Oryzias latipes: one gene and its partner. The main gene of each other region encodes a partner of the protein of the gene in region 2 in a complex. Links are inferred from orthologs where the notes say so. Each region holds a gene or a part of one and is shown on either strand. Other genes may lie near its edges.

Evidence for each region.
Region 1: ctnna1 (region 2) and cadherin-like protein 26 share a complex: the UniProt entries of both Homo sapiens proteins name them as parts of the cadherin:catenin adhesion complex. The link is inferred for Oryzias latipes from reciprocal best matches to the Homo sapiens genes CTNNA1 and CDH26.

The regions. Positions count from the first base shown.
Region 1 is NC_019865.2:18,100,793-18,104,617, reverse strand, and holds part of cadherin-like protein 26, read right to left. Parts: intron 3,162-3,825; coding exon 3,046-3,161; intron 2,935-3,045; coding exon 2,881-2,934; intron 2,167-2,880; coding exon 2,053-2,166; intron 1,944-2,052; coding exon 1,893-1,943; intron 1,444-1,892; coding exon 1,375-1,443; intron 1-1,374. UniProt on the Homo sapiens protein: Cadherins are calcium-dependent cell adhesion proteins. They preferentially interact with themselves in a homophilic manner in connecting cells; cadherins may thus contribute to the sorting of heterogeneous cell types.
Region 2 is NC_019868.2:19,914,774-19,918,598, reverse strand, and holds part of ctnna1 (catenin alpha-1), read right to left. Parts: intron 1,594-3,825; coding exon 1,390-1,593; intron 1-1,389. UniProt on the Homo sapiens protein: Associates with the cytoplasmic domain of a variety of cadherins. The association of catenins to cadherins produces a complex which is linked to the actin filament network, and which seems to be of primary importance for cadherins cell-adhesion properties.

The DNA of each region.
Region 1 (3,825 bases), on a different chromosome or scaffold from region 2:
GCAGGGTTCCATAAGGATTCGCATCTGCCCCTCAGCTTTCCAGAAAATGATGAGAGAAATCCTCAAAGATCTTCTTGATGTCCAAAATTACTTGGATGATCTCATTGTTTTTGGCAAAACCAATACTGAACATGATCAGAACCATGACGCTGTCCTTCAGGGGCTCAAGGAAGCTGGACTGGTGCTCAATGAGCAAAACTGCAATTTCAGAAAACCATCATTGCACTTTTCCTGATCAGGACTACATTGAGGCTGTAAGCTCCTCCTCCATCTGATGCTGCTTCACTGAGATCCTTCCTGGGTTTGGTTTACTGGTACTCCAAATTTCTGCCCAATTTTGCAACCGTTGTGGCCCCTATGCGTATCTGTGCCAAGGAAAAGAACACATTTACCTGGACCTTGGCTGCACAAACCAGTTTCGAGAAAGTTAAACACCTCCTGGTTACTAGTGCTGCTCTGGCACCTTTTGATCCAGCCCTACACACTGTGGTGCCCACCGATGCCAGCGACTGTGGACTGGATGCTGTGCTAGCTCAAGTGCACCCTGATGGCACTGAGAAGACAGTGGCTTTTGCCTCCCGTAAATCCCAATCACACTTGCCCATGAGAGTCATCAAGGAATCGTGCACACTAGAGCACTTGAGGGACCTTTATTGGTGGCCAAAGATGGACTCCCAAGTGCGGGCTGCTATAGCCTCATGTGTCATTTGTCAGACTAATGACAAAACAGCCCATACACATTCTGCTCCCCTGCAGCCTGTTCCACTTCCTGATGGACCATGGAAGAAGCTGGGAGTTGACATTGTTGGACCTTTTAAGACTGCTGACCCCACCTGCAGGTTTGCCATCGCGCTGACCGATTACTATTCTAAGTGGCATGAACTTGCTTTTTCACCTACTGCTCCCGCTAATGATGTCATTTGGTTCTTGACTAGTGTTTTCAGTCGACATGGTAACCCCAAAAACATAGTCACCGATAATGGTGCACAGTTTACCTCTCACGTTTTTGCCTCTTTTCTTCTTCTGTGAGACATAACACACAGCAGAACATCTGTCTACTACCCAGCTGCCAATGGGGCGGTTGAAAGAGTTCACCGTGGTCTCAGGTCCTGTATTCAGATTGTAATTCAGCAGTCCCTACCTTGGACAGAGATTGTGACAAACTGGCTCCAGGTGTACCGTGCAACTCCACATGCGACCACCTGCATCTCTCCTCATATACTACACTATGGTAGGAATGTGTCAACCAAACTTGGCATTCTTCCAATACCCCCTGCTGTTTCTCCTTTGGATAACACAAACAGTACTTAAAGTACTTCTGATTCTGATTTAGCTGAGATCAGTTGTTTAAGAGGAGAGAGGAGGAACTCTTACCTTTTTAATTTGATCAGGAAGAGGAATATTTGACTGTACTCTTGAAAAAGGATCCTGCTCTGATTGGTTCTGCAGACAAAGAAAACAGATGTCTGAGTCTGACAAAACATGTTTTATTCTTTTGAAAAGCGCTACACACCTTGTTGGAGTTCATTTTAGTGGTTGAGGACTAGTTTTAAAAAAAAGGTCGGCGTTTGTTGGCGAGTTTTAAAATGTATTTATATGTATTTTTCTAATAAACATAATAATAAACATAATAATAAAATCATTTCTTTATCAGAACACAGTGGATTCCTAAAAGGTTGTCGTAACATGATCGTGTTGATTAGGTTTTCATTTTGTGAAATCACTGATGTCATAATTGCTGTTTAAAAAAAAAAGGTGTGAGCGGTGTCTGAATTGTTTTTATAATCCAGAGCATTTAATAATCCCACACTAGATAGTTTTATAGTAGGGATTAGGGTCAAAATTCACATTGCCTAAATGTGGTACAAAAACTGTTAAAAAAATGTCCTCACCATGGAACGACTCACATGACTTCCACCGAGGTTTGGTTTGTTTATGCTCATCTGTGAAAGGTTACAGTAAAAGCTTGAAAGCTTAATAAATGACTAAAAGGTATCTGATTTGAGTACTCTTAAACATTAACATGAATATTTTAGACTTGATGCATCATACTTCAGTTTTGTTTTTAACCATAGATTCCTTCAACGAGTCTGAAGTCCCCATGCTGTACGCTCCTGAGCTGTACGTTTTCTTGTTGAGGGAACGTCCTGAAGACGTTGCAGACTTCTAAGAAAAAACAAACAAAAAAATACTGTACATCTCACAATAAGCCCTGGATTAATTAACCAAGGATGGATACAAATTGTAAGATGATAGGCAGCTTGCACTTCTTCAGATCTTCATTCTACATTTAAAGATTGCTGCAAACACCCAAAGCAGGAGTCTGCAACCTTCAACTCGACTTTTTACTGACTATAACTTAGGAACTACAAAGTCTTAGTTTCCCTTTTAGAAAGAAATACATAACTGATTTGTACTTATTTTATTGTTAATAAATTAAAAATGTTAATAGGCTGCATTTTTTTGGGCATAAATTCAACTTAAACAAAAAGAGATTTTTTTTCAAAATGTTGTCGGGTAGGTTACATGACTTCTTTTTAAAAATAAAATACACCTTTATAAGATTATCTAATTGTGGGAAATGTAGTAGTAGGCAGTATGATGTATGAAAAAGTTTGGGCACCCCTGACCATTTTACATATTTTCCTTCTCCTTCATTAATCATTGGTTAACTTCAGGTAATTATATCATATAGGAGACAAACATGGAGGGTCTTCTTTTAGTTTTGCAATGTACTTTGTGCTAAATTGTATGAAAAGAGATTATTCTCTTTTCTTTAGAGCCTGTTTAAGCAGCAAACATGAACATACTGTCTTTAAAAGAACAAATGGCTGCAGTGAAACACTGTCTGTCCAAACAGGATTAAGTTGTGAGGATTACCACTGTATTGTTGGTCTGGTTGATGGCATTAGGTCCAGTTAATTCAGTCGGAGCCTAACATAAAAAGAAAAAAAATGTTTTTTCATTGAAATCATGTTTTGAACATCAAACTTTAGCTAATTTAATAAACAAACAAAAAAACAAGAAACATCACAACCAACTCACTATAGGTTTAAGGAGGTGTCCTTCTCTATTGTATTTCACAAGTGTCTGGTATCCTTTATCTTCCGTTTGTTCAAACTGATGTTTTTTGCAACTGCATGAGAACCCGATAAGTAAGACTGTAAACAAATCATAACAAAACATACATTTATGCTTTTAAAAAACGTACTTCAAATATAGTGAATTTCATCTTTTCATTTGAAGACGTTTGATCTGTTTGTGGTCCTTCACATGCTTCTGAGATCATGATACTCTGATCTTTATACACAATAGATGAAATATTCCTTTATGTAAAAGTATCTCTCACAAAACATGTGACACATTACACATAAATCAAAGATGATCTTATAGTTGATTACCAACCAGATAAAGTTTAAAAAGATTTAATTACATGAAGGTCCAGTCAAAGTTGAAGTTTCCATAATGATGACAATAAAAATGTTAACATTAAAACTGTTCTTTTTTTTCCTTCAATAACAGATGATCATCATCAAATACATTGTGTACAAGACAACATACAAGTGCCTTTGTTAATCCACGACAGTTGATAACTTAAAATAATTTTTAACAAATTTTCACTTTAACATATATTAGATTTCACTAAGTTTATTAAGACAATAGAGTACCAATAGAGCTTTCAAAAATTTGGGAAACTAGTTAAAGCGGGAAATATTCACAAAAAGCAATGATAAATGATTATTTTTCAATAGTTTTTTTATTTAAAAATAAGCTTTGTAGAAAGTGTAAAGGTTGCTTAAAAAAGGCAAAATAAAGTAAAAATTA
Region 2 (3,825 bases):
AGAAGTCCGGTATGTCCCACACCATCTGGATACGCGTTCATAAACCATGTGGACCGCGCTATTGAACGCACCACACGCGGACGGTGTGAATGAAGCACTAAATGCAAGTTTTTGTTCGTCTTCTATGGTTGAGGGAGGGTTATACCGCCTCCAAAAGTTCCTGTTGTGCTTTGCGATGACTGTGGCTGATGGTTTTCATAACCATTTAAAATGCCCAGAAATCGTTGACATCCCTAGTGGACTACACAGTTTATTAACACAGAATAAAGCTAAAACAAAACCATAGTATTTCATCTTACAGTGAAATTTAAATAGAATAGTGTACTGCATGAAAGACTTATAACGAGGATTACTTTAACATACAACCAAACAAGGTTTACAGGCTTACTGTGGAGGGTGATTTCTAAATCTCAATTTAGCATGGCTTGGTGATTACATTCTAGATTGAGTACGTTCACACTGGCCAAGACGTGACTAAAAATGTGCAAAGGGCCAGAGGATTTCTGTATTTAGGACCAACTTTGCCTCGATTTTTATTCACTAAATGCTTTTAACAGATGCCTTCCGACAACTGTACCGTTACAATCAAGACAAAACCACTCAAAAACTGCTGAAGATATGACAAAATGTACAGGTCCTGCAATGGCCCCCAGACAATTGTCGGGGGGTCCACTGCACAGGCTTTGTAACCAACCGGTCGCAGATTTGAACGAAGGACAGCCAAAAGCCCTGTAAACACATTTATCTCTATCCAAATTAGTGTGTGCACACGCCAAAAAACTGAGCCGTTTGGTACACCTTTACAAAGTGTTTCTGAGGTGTAGGATGTTTAAATCTGCCCAAACTTTCAGACATAAGTAACTATAGTTCAGAAGCCCCAAAATAGTTCTTCCGCCCCCTTTATTGAAACTTGATTTGGGTGCATTTTTTTTTTGACAAGTGAAACCTCTGAAACTATACTTAAGTCAATGCTTAGCCTAAAAATGCAATATCAATTTTATGACAGTGGATGAATTTTAATTTAAAGAATTTATGTGATATTTATCAGGTTTTCTTTATGTTTTTATTAGATTTCTTATTTTTTAGAAATTTTCAAGCTTTAAAAGTTTTACTTTTGTGCAGTTTAAACCTTAATTATGTACTTTTTTGAGGAAAGAGAAAAATCATAACCAAGCAAAATGGGGTTGGAACTTTGAAACAGGAGAAATTAATCAATATTTAATAAAATGGTATTGAACCATAAATCAAATTATGAACCCATAGATCTCAATCAAGTCAGAAATGCAGCATCTAAACGCACCTTTTGTCACTAGTGATTAAAAAGAGCAAACCAAACTTAGAAGACATAACAGCACATCAAAAATGGGGGAAAAAGTTAAAGACACTTACATTTCCCATGTACTCGCTCAGAAGGTCCTGTAGTGCTTGACGCACAGAGTTGCATTCCGCCACAATGCGCTCCCTGCGGTCATCACGTGTGCAAGAGGAATCAGCCATGAGGGCAGCTCCACTAATAATGCTTTCAAGGCGCTCCTCCAGAGAAGGACGAAAGCGCTCCTCGCTGAACGCCAGAGGGTCAACAATGATTTGTTTCTGTCAGGAAGACACAAGAAGAAGAGATTTAAAAACAGAAAAAGAAAATGGGTGTCTTGTTGCCAGGGTAGGAAAAAAAAAAGCACAGAACTAATATTAAGATAAGACTTTAGTTATCCCACAAAGTGAAAATTCTTTTGACTACAGCAGCAAAGTGACATTCAGAAATCAAAGTAACATTACAACTAAAGACAACATTGTCTTTAGCAGTAATGTATCTTTTAAAAACCGTTAAGGGTTACCATTTAAATGAATGGAAAACATTTAGGAGGCAAGTCTTAGCAACTAAGGATCTATTACAAAAAAACAATTAAAATATGGAAAACAATCAGAAAAAGAACTTCAATCACACTAAATCTATACAGATTTAAAAAGATCTTTATATCTAGAGTGACAGTCTTTTTTTTTTTGGAAATACACTTAAATATTTATACTAACAATATATTTATATCAACAATTCATTGCCTCACATACTTGGGACAAACATAGAATTGCAGTATTTATAGAAATGAACCAAAACCAATTTGGAGGAAAATGGTACTTTTATTTGCTTCAGTTAAAATATAATGAAAAATATTTCAATTTAATATTTCAGGTCGTAAGAGTTTCAAAATTGCTAAATAGCCACTGGTTCAAAAGTTTATTTATTCTGTAGTTTGCTTTAACTATTCTCACATCAATTGAGATTAAATCAAGCAGCTTTAGCCACCAAGTGTGGTGGTAGATGGTTAGTCAAATGGTTGTAACACCTACAGTTGCACACATTTTGTTGAATGACCAAATAACTCCTTGTTGATACAAATAATGGAAAACAGCTGTTGGATTGTTAGATTTTGCGGTTTCTTTAGACAACCACCTCCAGCTCCCTCTATTCTGTCTTGTCTGGCCTCCTCTGTGTGTCATATCCCCATGACAACAGGCATTTGAGAGAGACATGGAGGTGGAAGCCCAGAGAAACAGCACCACTGTTGACTCATTTCCTAATTTTGCCTATGGGCTCTTATACACCAAACCTATTTGAAGAAATGAAAAATCTGCTCTTAAACACAACTACAAGCATTACAGCAAAAATGTATGATTTGCATTCAAAGAAACCTTTACAGAGCAGACTAAAGTGACATAACTACAGCAACAGTGCAGTAAAAATCACTATGCAGTGTGTAGATAAGGTGAGGTTGTTCTTTTTTCAGCAATATCTTAAGTCTAGCTTAGCTAGACATGTTTAAATATTTTTTTTTTTTTACCATGGATGAAATTAAAATATCCAACTGTCTAAATTTAGTGATGCATAGATTTTTAGAATTTTTCCCTTATTACTTGCTTTTACGATTAAAAAAAAAAAAAGCATTTTAAGAGGATTAAAGGAAATTAGGTCATTAATGCTTACAGCTCACTTACAGGGCCAAACAGTCACAAAAAACCTCTCTCTCACTGACAGACCTGGCACATTTAATCAGTTTAATACAAAGGACCAGCATGGTCCAACAAAGCTGATGGCACAATACAGAGTGAAACAAAAAAAACCTGTGAAAACGTGTACTCAATGATGCATTCACAAACACTCAAGATGTTCCTGGCAGCTGATTTCTGGTCAGAACTCAAATGCTTTGCTAAGATCTGTTTTTTTAAAGACTTTTTTCTTAATGAAGCTAATTTTAAAAAAATGGTGCAATAAAATGGCATTGATAAACCAGCCTTGCACTGTTCTCAACGTTTAAACAGAGGAGCTTTCAAGGAATTTTCTTTAAAGATTCCAGTATCATTTTACTATAAGGAACAAGCTTTTCAAGAGTAATTTTCATTTTTCCAAGTGAAGGTAGGTCAACTGAGAAACATGAAAGAATATTGACAAAACCTAATTTTATAGTAAAACATTGACATTCTCCTTTAAAAGAATCATCATTAAACTTTCCTTGGTGACAGTGACTGCTAAGGATAGTTCTAAGGAAGGCTTCCAGAGCAAATGTGGAAAATTAAGCACAGAATTCTAAAGCTGCGTTCACACTGAATGTGATTCATGCATCAAAATTTGACAGACATGATGAAAGGTCCTGCAACGTGTTCTGAAGGTCGGGCGCAGTGCGGTGGTGTGGCAGGAGCGCGTCTCGGTCGTTGTGGCATGGTGCATCCAGAGTTCAAATATCTGAACTTTGGCAACGAAGGCGCAGCATGATGACATGATCAGAGGTCAGAGTTCAAACCAAATACCAAATAGGAAGAAAATCTGATCGC